Diceros bicornis minor: one gene and its partner. The protein of the gene in region 2 purifies or fractionates together with the protein of the main gene of each other region. This does not show direct contact. Links are inferred from orthologs where the notes say so. Each region holds a gene or a part of one and is shown on either strand. Other genes may lie near its edges.

What was found. The genes of interacting proteins can lie anywhere in the genome.
Region 1: the proteins of FOSL2 (region 2) and COP1 purify together in Homo sapiens (affinity purification with mass spectrometry; 3 studies listed by BioGRID and IntAct, counting the BioPlex papers as one, with this or other methods). This does not show direct contact. The link is inferred for Diceros bicornis minor from reciprocal best matches to the Homo sapiens genes FOSL2 and COP1.

The regions. Positions count from the first base shown.
Region 1 is NC_080743.1:90,436,160-90,443,332, reverse strand, and holds the start of COP1 (E3 ubiquitin-protein ligase COP1), read right to left. Parts: upstream 3,052-7,173; 5' UTR 2,828-3,051; coding exon 2,409-2,827; intron 1-2,408. UniProt on the Homo sapiens protein: E3 ubiquitin-protein ligase that mediates ubiquitination and subsequent proteasomal degradation of target proteins.
Region 2 is NC_080751.1:54,562,173-54,569,126, forward strand, and holds the start of FOSL2 (fos-related antigen 2), read right to left. Parts: upstream 3,089-6,954; 5' UTR 2,695-3,088; coding exon 2,593-2,694; intron 597-2,592; exon of another isoform or gene 499-596; intron 1-498.

The DNA.
Region 1 (7,173 bases), on a different chromosome or scaffold from region 2:
GCAGCTGGTGGCCTGGGTTCGGGTCCCGGGCATGCACCAGTGCTCCCCTTGTCAGGCCATGCTGTGGCAGTGTCCCATATAAAGTGAAGGAAGATGGGCGTGGATGTTAGCTCAGGGCCAGTCTTCCTCAGCAAAAAGAGGAGGATTGGCAGATGTTAGCTCAGGGCTGATCATCCTCACACACACACACAAAAAATTTGGAAGTTCTATATACTTCACAGAATTGCTCTAAGGATAAAATGAAATGTGAAGTATAAACATACCTTTAAAATGTGATGAATAAGACATTATCAGCATTATTCAAACTTTAGCCTCATTTACATGTAAAAGCAGAGTAATCTGGATGGGTTCATCTTTTGACCTTGAAGCATACAAGACCAGATCAACAACCTAGAGCCAACTAGAAATGAAAAGGATTCCTTGGGCCTTGCCTAATCCATATCTTCCTACCTCCAAAGCTTGGCCAAATCAAATCTAGCTTGAGAATCAGGAAAATTGATTTCTATTAATGAATTCTTCTGAATATTCAACCTCGCCAGAGAAAGAAACAATGGACTAAGGAGATTCTTAGAAAAGTGAAATATTCAGAATTTTTAACAAAAGACTCTCACTGGACACTTCCACATTAGAATACAAAAGAAAACAGAATAATCTAAACAACATGATTAGGACTCATAAACAAGATTGAAATTTTTAAAAATTAGGTGACAAACTAATAAAAATTTTAATAATCTCATCCCCAAAGGAAAAAAAAAATCAGTGCCAGCTGCTTACACTTCCACATCCCTCTCCAATTCCCTATAAAATGGCCTATAGTAAGCACAATGAAACTCATATGGTGCCCGGCAAACTGAGCACCAAATAAATATCTGTTGAATGAATGACTGATTCCCTTATGTCTCACATCCTTTACATTATTTTAGTGTACATATATGGATATCAGCATGTTTATTTTCTTTTAGCCTACTGAAAATTGAAATGCAATGGTGGCTAAAAAGACAAATTCTGCAAACCCTCACTTTGTTCCATTAGCTTCTACTTTGTCATAAGGTACTCTCTCCTGAATATGGGCACAAACCCTCTCAGACCCAACCATAAGCTGCTCAAATTATTTATAAACAACAATCTAATTACAATTACAACCCAGTTTCAGTAAAAAAATGAATTAATTTTGAATCCAAAATAATTTAAGACAAAAACAAAAATATGAATAAAGACATTTTTACTGCAAGAACTATAAACTCTTGTCTAATCAATAACTTTCCTATAGCTCCAACTTCCAGCCCTATCATATTTAAGGACACCAACTCAGATCATCTTCAACCCTGAAGTGAATCAACTTCCCCTATAATGACAGTGCAAGCCAACTTCCTACATCACTAATATTCTAAGACTATCAACAATTTCCTCCAGAGGAAAAGCACAAAACCCTACCAGTTCTCACTCAGCTAAAAGCAATTCATTTCTCATAAGCCTACCACTTGGATTGGATTTTGGATACAAAACACAATGAAAATCCCAAAACACTCTCAGCAAGACAATCAACTGCATCTTTCACTTAATATGGATAACCCCTCTATGCCAAACATCATAACTGAATACTAGTGTGCATCATCCAAGATGCCAACTATGATGACAAAATGTCTAACACCTATTTTCTCAAATCAGAGGTTCCAGTATACTCCAATGCGTTACACAAACGTAGTAGTTACATCTGACACATGGATGATATTTAACAAACGTGGTTCCCTCTTTCAAGACATTCACTTGAGAAGTGGAAATTTTGTGAACAGATTTTCTTGACTACAGTAGCCTCAACAGCAGATTTAAAAGTGGCCCACCCTTTGAAGTGGGAGGAGATATTTATATACAAACACGATGGATACTTACATTAAATACTACTACTCCTTAGAACATTCATACCCGTTTAGAGCCCCAGCTACCATACGTTAAATAAGCAAATTCTGACCAACAACTCCATCCCTCAGCATCCCAGGAAGCTTAATCCTCTCCCTTTACAAGTTTAATTCACTTCAACAATCCGGACTGACAGGTGCCTAATTTCCAGACAGCCAGGAAATTCAAGGCCCAATCTCCTTGCCCAACTTTCTTCTTGTACGCACATTTATTTGACCTTCCATCTCGCCTCCCTTATTTATTATTTCCTAAAGTCCCTTCACTCCCTCCTCACTAGCACTTACCTCTTTGGTACTCCGACCCTGCCTCGGGACTCTAACATGCCCCCATCCCACTCCACCAACCACCCGTCTGAATGTCTCTGCAAACGCTCGAATCCCTCTGCAGACGCCGCCAAGGCACCCAACAGACCCCCCTCACGCCGGACCCCACCAGCCCAACCAGCAGAAACTCAGAATTTAGCAAGAGAGAGGGCGGGGCCTCCAACCCACCAGACGAAGTCGTTGCTTTTGTCCTCGTAGGAGTTGATGAGCCCGTTGCAGAGGGGGGCGAGCAGAGGTCGCTTCCTGCTGCCGCTGCCCAGGCTGGAGCTGCTCCCTCCGACTCCGGCGCTGGGCCTGGCCGCGCAGCTGAGCCGGGACAGGCCGGCGGACACCGCCCCGCCGCCGCTCCCGCCGCCGCTGCCCGACACGGCGGCCGCCACCAACACAGGCCGCGCCGGGCCCCCGAGGCCGCCGGAGCCCGCGGCCTGGGCAGCCCCGCCGGACCCCAGCGCCGCCGCCGAAGCCGCCACGGACGGGGGCGACGGCGAAGAGGATAAGGACGAGGAGGCGGAAGTCACTGAGGAGGCCGCCGAAGAGCCAGGGCTGGTCCCGGCGGAGCCCGACCCGGCCTGGCGGCTCCCGGACATCGTGACTCCCTCCCCTCCGGCCGGGCGCTCGGAGGAGAGGGACCGCGACCGCGACCCGCCGCCGCCTCCCCTCCCACAGCCTCAGTGCATCCTGAGGACGCGCGCCGCGCCGGGAGGTGGGGCTGAGGAACAATAAAGTTGATTTTTTTAAGGCAACCACACAACAGCGTCCGACGGGAGGGGGCGGAGGAAACTAATAAAGCGGAGTAGAAACCACTACCGCTCTCGAGGCCCCGCGGCCGCTGCCGCAGCCAACCCGGGCGCGCCGTGGGCCGGCCGCGCGCGCGCGCGCGCGAGCGGCGGAAGGGGCGGGAGCGGCGGGGGATACAACTTTAGACGCGGCCCGGGCGGCGCTCGGACGCGAACGGCGCGCCCTCAGCGGCCGCGGCGGCCTGGCAACGACAGCCGCCCTCGTCGAGACCTGTTTTCGTTCGTGACGTACCGGAGGGCAGGCCGTCGTAATGGGTGAAAGGGCTGCGGAGGATGGAATGAATGGCAGAGGTGGCGGAGTGGTTTGGGGGAGGGAGCGGAGACGGGGAGCGCTCAAAAAGCGACTGCGCACGCGCGCCCTGGGCGCCTACCCTCGCGGGTTACCCAGTGTCCCCCTCCAGGCGGAGAGGAGCGGCGCCGGCGCGGAGTCGTCGTACTACGCATGCGTGAGGGCGAGCCGCATTCCGGAACGTGAGGAGGGAGCGGTCGGTGTCGACACAGATGGGCAGCGTGTCCCAGTGGAGACGGCAGGACAGGTGCTTCCGAATCCGGAATTGAAGGCTCTGTAAACTGGGACACTCGGAAAGAACCCAGGAACTCCCAGAAGTTGAAAAGAGCGCTGGGCTGAGAGTCAAGGACTCAGGCTCTGGTGTTTTTAAGACATTCCATGTTATTGTGAGGAGTAAATTAAGATGAAGTCAGTGTTGTTCTTTGTTAATTGCAGACATTGTACCAAATTAAGTATAACAATAATGGGAAAACAAGTTATGCTTAATCAGAACACAGCTCCGTCAGAACCTCGGTTTAATTTGGATCTGATATAATACTACCACAAAACAAGGAAACTTGGCAGTAAATACCACCAGAAAATGTGCAATTTCTGGTAGGCTTTTCGGAATATTGAAAGTTGATTACAGATTTTCATTTACCATTTTGAGATTCTGGGGGATGTAAATTAGAAACAACTGAATTGGGTGATTTTCAGTATCCTTTCCAACTCTATCATTTCCATGATTCTTAGAGGGAGAGATGCCAGATTTAATTCTGTCCCGGGTATTGAAGACTACAGGGGCAATTAGGGCCTTTCCCTAGGAAGGTCCATCCATGCTGAGGGGCCAGGGCTGGGGAAGGACCTAGATGAAGACCCAGCAACAAGACCTAGCCATTCACCTGAGCAGTGAACTGTCATGGCTGCCATCATCCTCAACTCTGCCGTAACTGCTCACCCTCATATTTCCAGCTCAGGTTTCTGCTCAAAATAATGATATAGAAATGGGCTTATCAGATTTCCAAGAACCACCCTCTTTGTATAAATATTACATTATCCAACTCCTTGTTTAAATTCACTTTCAAGGCCATACTGAAATGTGAAGCCCTACTGAGTCCTTGGCAGAGATAGTTGCACTCTCATTTGTGCTCCTAGGATATTTTGTTTGCACTTAAAACATTGTGTTTTAGTGATGTATATATGATTCTCCTCCACTAGCCTGTCAGCTTCAGCTTTGTATTCCCAGCATGTAACACAATACCTGACCTATGATAGGTCCTTATTGAATATTTCTTGACTAATAACTGAATAAAGCAGTTGATCTCATTTTTATTTTAATTATTTGCTTAATGTCTGTCTTTCCAACTAAACTGTAAGCTCCGTGAAAGAAAGAACAATATTAGTTCTCAGTGGGCATTCAATAATTTTTTGATGAAAAAATGCGTAAATAAATGAATATTTATTGAACATTTGCTACACGTAGGCCTGGACTAGGCAAGGAAGAGATGAAGAAGTATAAAAAACGTTGCTCTTACTTCAAGAAGCTTATGAAATAATTGAAGAATTAGAAAAGTACATAAAAAGATAAGTAATGTTAGAGCACATGCTAAATGCTCAATGAGAGCAGAGACTCACCATAGGAACTGAAGCAAGAACAAGTGCTAAGGGCCAGCCATGTTGGTGGGGGAAAAAGGAAGGCCTTAACTGAAAAGTATAGCTTGGTCAAACAGAAAGTGTAATTAAAGTCATGAGCCCAGAAAATAAGTAAGAAAAAATGCTTACATGAGGTTCAGATTTCTATAATTGATAAGGTAAAAGAGTTTATTCAGTAAAAACTCATTTGGGGGCCAGATTGTAAAGCGCCTTGAATCCACTTTAGAAAATAGCCTATAAGCAATTGGAAACAATGAAGGCATTATAAGGAGGTAAAATATATTCAAAGTGTTGTTTTGAAGATTAAGTTTTCAGCAGATTAATCTTTCAGAAGAGGTGGGAGATTAGAAGCAAAGAGACTAATTAGGAAAAAATTATAGCAGTCCAAGCATAAGTGATGAGATTCTAGATTAGGGTGCTGACAAGGAAAGTAAGGGAGTATTCTGAGAAAAATGCAAAAGAATCTATAGGATTAAGTTTTGTTGGTGTTACTGTCAAGTGGATTCCAACTCCTAGTGACCCTGTGCCTAGCAGAGCAGAACCCTGCCTGGTCTTTTTGCGCCATCCTCTCACTTTCCAGTGCTATATCAGACAACGCTCCACTGCTATTCACAGAGTTTTCATAGCCAATTTTTTCGGAAGTGGATGGCCACGTCCTCCTTACTATTCTGTCTAGTCTGGAAACTCCACTGAAACCTGTCCACCATGGGTGACCGTGCTGGTATTTGAAATAGGAGGATTAAACTACTCTTGGTAAAAGAATCTTTACAATCCTTGAGGGCATGACCCATATCTGTCTTGTTCATCACTGTCTTTCCACATGCTTAGCAGAAAGGCTAATAAGTTAAGTAAAAATGATGAACACAAAGAAGAATGACTGCAAAGATACCTCCAGGAATAATAGCGTGATGACAGAATTGGAGATGGCCAGCAGATGTTTAGTTTTGGATGTGTCGAGCGAGTGTGGGGTGAAAATACATTCAAGTAAGTATATCCCGGCGGTGATTGAAAATTCAGGCTATGGCACAGGAGAAGGTTCAACACATGAGAGAAATAAAACTGCAGGCTCCTGAGCTCTTCCTTCAGAGATTCTGACTCTATAGGCCTGGGGTAGGGCCTATGAATATGCATTCTTACCAGCACCCAGGCAAATCTGATGCAGGTGACGAACCCTTGAGAAACCCTGTGATTGATATTGTAGGGCGTGTAAGAGAAATGTGTAAAATAGTCTCTTCCTTCCAGGTAGCTTATTCAGGAGACAGAAAGTGATAGGACCCCAGCTAAGTCTCCTAATCAAAAATCAGTGCCTGGTATTACCTCTTTGGAACCTGTCTTCAGTGAAATCTAAACTCACAAAAGGAAGCTAAGGGTATGTGATAATGATGGAATTTCCCTTTTATACCAGATAAATGTGTAAAGACTACTCTGAAAGTACATAATTTTTATCTCTTTTTTTTTTTCCCCCAGAAACAAAGGACTTGATTATTCATAGCAATAGCAGTGGGTAGAGTATCAGCATTTTCATGGGCCAGTTCACTGAGCCCCAATTCCCACAGGGCCATGTGGACCAGAGGCATAGATTGCCCTAGAGGAGAGGAACCCTGAGCTTAGAAACACATAGATACAGAGAAGGGATTGGTGGTAACCAGAGTGGTGGGGGTGGGGCAAAAGGGGTAAAGGGGCACTTGTGAACGATGATAGATGACAACTAGACTTATTAGTTTCTACTGGCAAGATTTTCTGGGAAAGCAGAAGAGAAAAGAGGAAGCATGGCAAAATACGCACAAAGGAAGTCAGACAACTCAGGAGAAGTAGCAAATAGAAGAGAAGAAAACATTAATGAAAATGAAAGTAAATGTAAAATAAAAACTAAGCCCTAATAATTAAAAGAATTCATCATGTTGTTAAATATATTAATCCTGTGAATGACAAAAATGACAAGAAAAAATCCAAAGTCCTACAAAACACTGCTACTGAAGTAAAATCTAATGGAGTTAAGATAGAATGGAATTAGCAAGAGGATTGGATTTCCCAGACATATTTCTAAGTTGCCTTGTCCAAATATAATATTTTAGGGAAATAAGGCTGCTGGCTTTCATCTCCAACTAGCCTTGCACTTTGGTAACCCATCTCCCAAAAAGATCCTGCCAAAAAAGCTTTATCTGCCTGACTCACCTGAAAGGTTTGCTACCTGTTAGCCCTGTTTGCTGTCTAA
Region 2 (6,954 bases):
ACAACAACAACAACAAGAAACAGCCAGAAGGGGGAAGCGTGTGCAACGATTACTGACAAAACAGAATCACCAAAGACCAACCTTTGAGATTAAAACTATAACTGGAACAGGAAATATTTCTCATGCTTCAAGTTCCTGCCGTACACAAGAACAGAGGTTTTCACAAAGAATTATCTGCTCCTCCTCACCCCAAGTCACTGGAACTCATGGCCATGTGTGAGGATCAAGCTTTATGAAGCGAGAGAGGGGAGGAAAGTACTGGGTTGAGTAAATAGCAACAAACTTATCAGGAATATTGGACCCTATAAACAAAGAGATCAGGAAAAAATCATATCCACTTGCCCAAGGAAAAACCAGTGAATTCTCTTCCACTGATTGGTCCATTGAGACGCCACAAAGGAGGAAGGCCCATCGCTAACTGCCCAGAAAGTCGCCCCGTGAAGGAAGCTGAGAGAAATAAAGTGATTACGGGTTTTATCTCATATGTAATAAAGTTACCTTGAGCCCAGGATCGGGTGGGGTCACAGCAAAGACTTGTGAAGTAACAAAAGCCTCTCAAGTCGGTGCTTAGGACCGCAGACCAGCTTTGCTCAAAGTTGGAGAGATGATGGAAAAAACCACCCCCTCCGCCAGGAGTGGACAGGCTGAGAAACTTGTCTAAAGTGGTGTGACTTTGCCAATCCCTCCGGTTTGGAAGCTGCCTGGCTGAACGGGCAGGCATATATGCGAGAGCCCCGTGCACTGGTTATTACTAATCGCAAAATCCTCATGTGTTACAGCAGGCTAGGAATGAGCCAACAGCTGCTTTCTGCTTCGGTAAAGAGGCCCCATTACACTCTGCTGGACTCGAGTTCTCGTCCTTCTTCCTAGCACTGGTTTCCTGTCTGATTTTCTTCCAAAACAGGGAATTGCCTCCGCTCACATCCTGGGCTCAAAGCCCTAGTGACACAGATTATTCAATCGGGGCACTGATGTCCGGTCTGACTTCCCATCCAGGCCCCCGGGTCTGAGCAAAGCCAGGCCGCAAGACTGTAATATTTCAATGATGACTGCCACAGAAACGGCAATGAAAGGAACAGACAAGAAATCAAACGATCCCTTCCTGATTCCGGGAGGAAGGGAGGGACATTTGGGGGTTGTTGAATTGGAGAGTGAGGGAATGGGTATAAATGACTCCAACCCTTTGCCTAATGGTATTTGGATTCAATACAAACCACCAATGGGGCTGGAAAGCAAACAAAACCAAACACTTTTAGGGACAAGATTTGAAACTCATCCCGTTGGTGCTCATTACGGGGTGCACTGACTGCACCCTCAATGCACACACGAGGCTCTCTAGAGTGCGTGCTTACGGGGACACCAGAGGAAGTAGAGGAAAGACACAGAGAAGCCATTTAGGGGACTCACCAGGTATGGGGAATTACTTTGGAACAAGGTATCCCTCTTCAAATCCCAAAGAGAGCTGTGTTTCCATTTTATGCTCCAGCAGAGTCCACACCTCCCTGGAAGCCCACCCCAGCCCTTCCTGGCTGGCTGGTTTCTAGAGGCCAAGGCCACGGCCTTACCAGAGCAATTCGTGCTGCAGCCAACTTGGCTGGACACTCAGCAGATCCTGACTGAGGAGGGCTTCAGATTGTAGTGGCCCTGTGTGTTAAGCCAGCTCCCTCACAGACCTGGGGGGGACCTGCTGCAGAGGGCAGACACCCCACCAGCACCACCACCCCACCAGCACCACCACCCCACCAGCACTTTTCTGGAATTTATAGACACACAGATCGCATGCACAACCCCTCCAGTGCAAACCAGTTCGGCTGCTTTAGAAACAAGTTGTTTTTCTGCTTCCAGAACCGCCCAGGAGGTCCCTTTCTCCCACTTCTCTCTGCAGGCGTCCTTGCTTCAGGTACCCTGTACACTGAAGGCGCCCCTTCTGGTGTTAGTGCAGGCTCCTGGTCCGACCCTCACAGGAGATGTACGGGCGCAGGGCACACAGGCGCCGCCCGAGCCAATCAAGGCTGACCTCCTCCTTCCTGACCTTCGCACCTGATTCCCAGAGCGGCAACCCTCGCCCTCACTCCGGATTACTTGAAGGAGCCCAACCATGTTTCCGAGTCCTCAGCCTCTTTCAGAAATTAACTAAGACTGACGGAGAATGGGGGAAGAGAAGGAGAGAGCTTTCCCACAGGAATAGGGTCCCTGGATGTCGGGAAGAGCCAGTGGATGCAAAGATTTTTTTGCCTACCAGGGAGAGAGAGGGGAAGGGGGGCGGGATTCCTGGGAGAGAAGGTAACAGGCTCCTGGGAAGGTGGCCTGTAATTCCTGGAGCTTGTCTGGATGAGATGTAGTGTGAAGGAAAGGGTTTGTTGGCTCTTCGAGCCCACTCCCCGCTCCAGTTTAAAAAAAAAAAAAAAAAGTGGTGGCGTGGGGGTAAGAGGGGTAGGCAGGACAAGACGAAAATCCAGACTTTACAACAGTGGCACGTAGGAATTTTCTCGCCAAATCAAGAAAGGGAAAAGAAAGCAAAAGAGGCAGTGGCGGCGAGAGGAGGGCGGGGGTCCGCCAGCGCCGCCAGGTGCATTCGGGCCCCGAACCTACCTGCTGGCCGCCGCCGCCGCTGGAGTAGGACTCGGCGTGCGCAGGAGAACCGCTGCTGCCACGGGAAGAGGTGTCAAAGTTCCCGGGATAATCCTGGTACATGATCCGCGGTGGGGGCCCGAGAGGAAACAGGGTGTTTTTCTTCCCCCGCCCTCGCCGCGGCCGCGCACCGGCTGCTGCGCGCTCGCTCCCTGCCGGCCGCGCCTCGGGCTCTAGTCTTCGCTCCCGGGCTCTTTCCCCTCGGCGGCGACCGCGGACGGACCGGGAGGCGACGACACCCCGGGAACAGTGCCGCCCGAGTGCCTCGCACTGCACTTCTTTCCTGCTCTACGAGCACCGCGGGACCAGTTGTCCACCCAGTCCCTCCCTCTAAAAAGTCGGCGCGTCCCTCAGTCCCTCCCCTGCGCGCGCCCTCCCGCCCCCGCGCGCAGCCGGAGCCCAGCCGGGACCTCCGGCCCAAGCAAAAGCTGGAAATTAAAAAAAGAATAGGACCCTGGAAATTAAAAAAAGAATAGGACCCTGGCAATTTTCCCTGCCAGATCTGGGGGCCCTCGATTTCAGTCAGGACAAAAAAGGCGAAAAGAAAGGCTGCCCGCTTGGAGAAACTTCTATTTCCTCCTTTTAGAAAGGGAGCTGAGAATAAACTTCCTGTGGCCGACTCGCCGCCGGAGTTTCGGAGCGGCTCGGACACTTGTCTAAGAGAAGAGGGCAGCCTGCGCCCGTCCCGCGGCCCGTGGGGTTCAAGCTGAGCCGGCGCTGAGAGGGACGCGGCCCCGCTCCCCGTGCCGTGGCTCCGGCGCCCGGACCTGCACCCCTTCCCCGGCGCCCGCTCCCGGACGGGCCAGTCTCGCCCGTCCGCGCCTCTCTCCCCCTCTCTCTGTCCCCGCCGAGCGCCGCTCGCTTGCTCGCTGGTTCGCTCGGAGCCCCTGCGCTCAGCCCGAGATGAGTCACTACAATGGCACGAGTTCAACTCCACACTCTTTATTCTCCAGCCCCCACCATGTGGATTCACTCACGTCAACCCCAAGACTCCACCTTGCAGGGAGGAGCGCGCGGGGAGGCGGGGGGAGGAGGAGGAGGAGAAAGAGGCGCGGGAGGAGGCGGGCATAGAGCTCCTCTCCCTGCCCCGGCTCCTGGCCGCGCTGACGCCAGCCGCACACTCCGCGCGAGGAAGGAAGGCGGTGGCGGGGGTGGGAGCCGACCGCTGGCGCGGTTTGGGGGAGCCAAGGCAGCCCTGGCCCTTCCACACCCCCGCCCACCCCCCGGGCCCAGCGCCCTTGGTCTGTTCCATTGGCGCACGTTGCCAAAGATGGTCATTTGCGTTAGAGGATGCGAGTGCGGGTTCCCTTGCTTTCGGGTGACGTGGAGGGAGAGGGATTCCCTCGCCCGCTCCCGAGCGCGCCGCGGCCTCCCCAACCCCCCTGCACCGCCCTGGGAAGGGGCGCGGGGCGGGGCCCCCGAGAGCGGCCGCGCGGGCCTCGGCGCCGGGTTTTAGAAAATAATCACAGTCTTGAAGAACGAGACAGGCGGTTCAGTGCGGCGCCACCGCCAGGCCGGGAGCCGGGCGCGCAGAGCCGCTCGCAGGGAGGGCGCGGCCGCGCGCGGTCGTCGGCGCCCTGCGCGGCGCCGGCCGGTGCAGCGGCCGCCCCGGGCGCGGAGAGTTCCCGCGCCGCCCTGCGGCCGGGTCCTGGCGGGGCGCGACGCCGCTGGGCGAGGCGGGCCTGCCTGTTTTCCCTTCGGTGGCTGGCTGCCCACACTTCCCCCCCTGTTTTTTTGGCCCTACAATTAATTTGTTAGGAGTAGACTTGAAGACGAAATTAACCAGTCAAGACATTCCGGCCGCCCTCTATGCCGGGCGTTTAGGTCGCATCTAATAAGAGTAATCGGACATCATAGGCAAACTCCAGACTGTTATGTATTTTAGAAAGGGCGGGGGGTGAGGCCAGGGAGAGGGTGTGCCCCAATGTTGTTTTCAGCTGTTTTGGAGCGAAGTTCAGGGAGCAGGTAGTCCGGGCTCCTGGGTCTTCCCGCCTCGCTGGGCGGGGCGGGGCGAGGTGCGGGGTAAAGAGCACAGGCCTTGGAGTACGAACGCCAGGTTGTGCTATTCGAGCTGTGAGACTTTGGGCGAGTCCCTTAACCTCTCTGGGCCTCAGTTTCTTCCTATAAAATGAAGGGGTTCGGACAGATGACGCTCTAAGGCCCTTATCAGTTCTGGAACTTCAATCTTTCTGCAGAGATGATCCGGAGGAACACTGTACCAGGAGTCAAAGCTTGGGTTCTGGTCCAGGCTCTGCCTTAGCCTCGGTTTACCCAACTCTAAAGTAGGGTCATCTGCACCCCCACAAGGTCCTTGTGAGGACACAACGGCAAGATGAGTGAAGACTGTGAAGAGCTATGCGCTGTAACACATCACAGTTCCAGTCCTCAGTTTCCTTATCTGTAAAGTGGGGGTGTTGCTAGGCAAGAAAAATAGAGCCGGGAACTCAAAGCTTTCCCTGGGCTCTATATAAAGCGCTGGCGTTTCCGGGACGGCTGGCGGCATCTGGCCGCCCCAATGGCCCTAAAATACGGTAATCCCAAACAATACTCGGGGTCATTGTTTACAGCTATAAAACACTTTCTGTCCTGAGCTCCATCCCCAAGGACGCACGCGGCGAGGCGAGGCTGGCCAGACTGCTCGAACCTCCGCCGCCGCCCTCCGGGCAGTCTCCAACTCTGCAGACCCAGGAGAGGGGTGCGGGGCGGGCGGATGCGCACACCCGCCGCGGTGCTTGGGTTCTTTTTTTTTTCATCCCTGCGTCCTGACTGCCTGCGTGTTTACGCGCCTCTCCCAGCAGGACTGAGTAAATGCAGTCCTTTGACGCAAAACCGATCAGCCCTTTCCCCAGCGGCAGCGGCAAAACCCAGAAAACTGGGGGTGGGGACTGTGTGGGGGGGGGGAGCGCAGGAGAAGAAATCGTGACACTTTCTCACTCGCCTCTCCGTCTCCTCCTGCGCCACCCAGGCCCCCGCCGACTTAGCCAGGTCTCGCGGGTGGTGGGGGGGGATGCAAAGGTTGGCATGGCCGGGGCGTCCAGGGCCCTCCTGGGAGCAGCCGCTTGTCGAAGCGGCGCGAACAGACGCGCTTTTGGTTTTCCTTTGAGCAGCAGCGGCTGCCTGACCCTCCCCCACCCCGCCTCGAAAATCTGGGTGCTTCTGGGTCTCTCCCACACAGTCCTTCCAGTAATGCGGGGGGGAAAGGAGGAGGGGGAAAGGGAGCCGGAGCTTCCTCCGCGGCCTCCGCCGTCCCGGGCGCGCCCAGACCCGGGCGGGCGGCGCCGGGAGCGCGCGGGAGGGCGAGCGCACCCTCTCTCTCTCGTCAGCCCCCGCCCAGCCTGCTCCCCGGCCCTTTCCTTTCTTGTGGGTTCCCGTAAAGCCCGGCAGCCCCGAGACGTCTGCAGAGCATCACGGAATCCGTGCTGATGCAAGTCGATAGCCTCCCCTTGGTGCGCCCCGGCCTGCCTTGGAGCGCTTTGATCCTGGCCTTCCCCTGCTCCAGAATTTGTGCTGGCTCCCTCTGTCCGGCTGGATGCCTGCCTTTTCGCAGTCTGTCCTCACCTTTCAGTCCACGAAGCGCCAGACACACAGAGCTGCGCCCTGGTGCTTCGGGGACTGAGCGGCTGGTCCAACTGGTGCCTTGGCCGAACTGTGGCTGCCAGACCGAGAGTTCAGCCTCCAAGCCCGGTTCACTGCCGCCTCCGTGGGGAATCATTCCAGTATCACCCAGTTAGAAAGGATCCTCTGGCTCCCCAGACTAACATCTAAGAATAGAGCCAACTTTTATTGAGCGCTTACCGAGAGTCAGGCACCACGCTGAATCCTTTGCAGGGATTGTCTCATGCAATCCTCCCAACAAATGTTTGAGGTGAGTATTATTCCCTGGTTGCAGATGAAGAAAGTGAGATTAAGGAACTTGTCCAGGAGAACTGATTAGTGGGTTAGTGACCCAGTTGGAAGTGCAGCTGGGCCTGTATGACACCAGGCTGTTCCTCTTACCCGGGACACTGCATGACTGGCCTCCTACTGGAAATGTCTTTGTTTCTCTCTTATTGGTCTCCAGAAAGCATGGACTTTATCTGGTGCATGGCTTTGTCCTATATTTAGAGGTGCTCCTTAATTCTCTGCTGAACTACTCAGCTAAAGAAAGGTCAAGTCAAGTGAGGGAAGAGGAGGAGGTGAGCTGGAGTGGGAAGAAAAGGGTATCTTGGGCTGTCTTCTCATTGTCTCTCTGGGTCTCTGGGACCTCCCTGCCCTGCATTTGCCAATTTCCTCCTGTGTCCCTCCAGTCCAATGTTTGGGCCCTGACTTAAATCCCAGAACGAC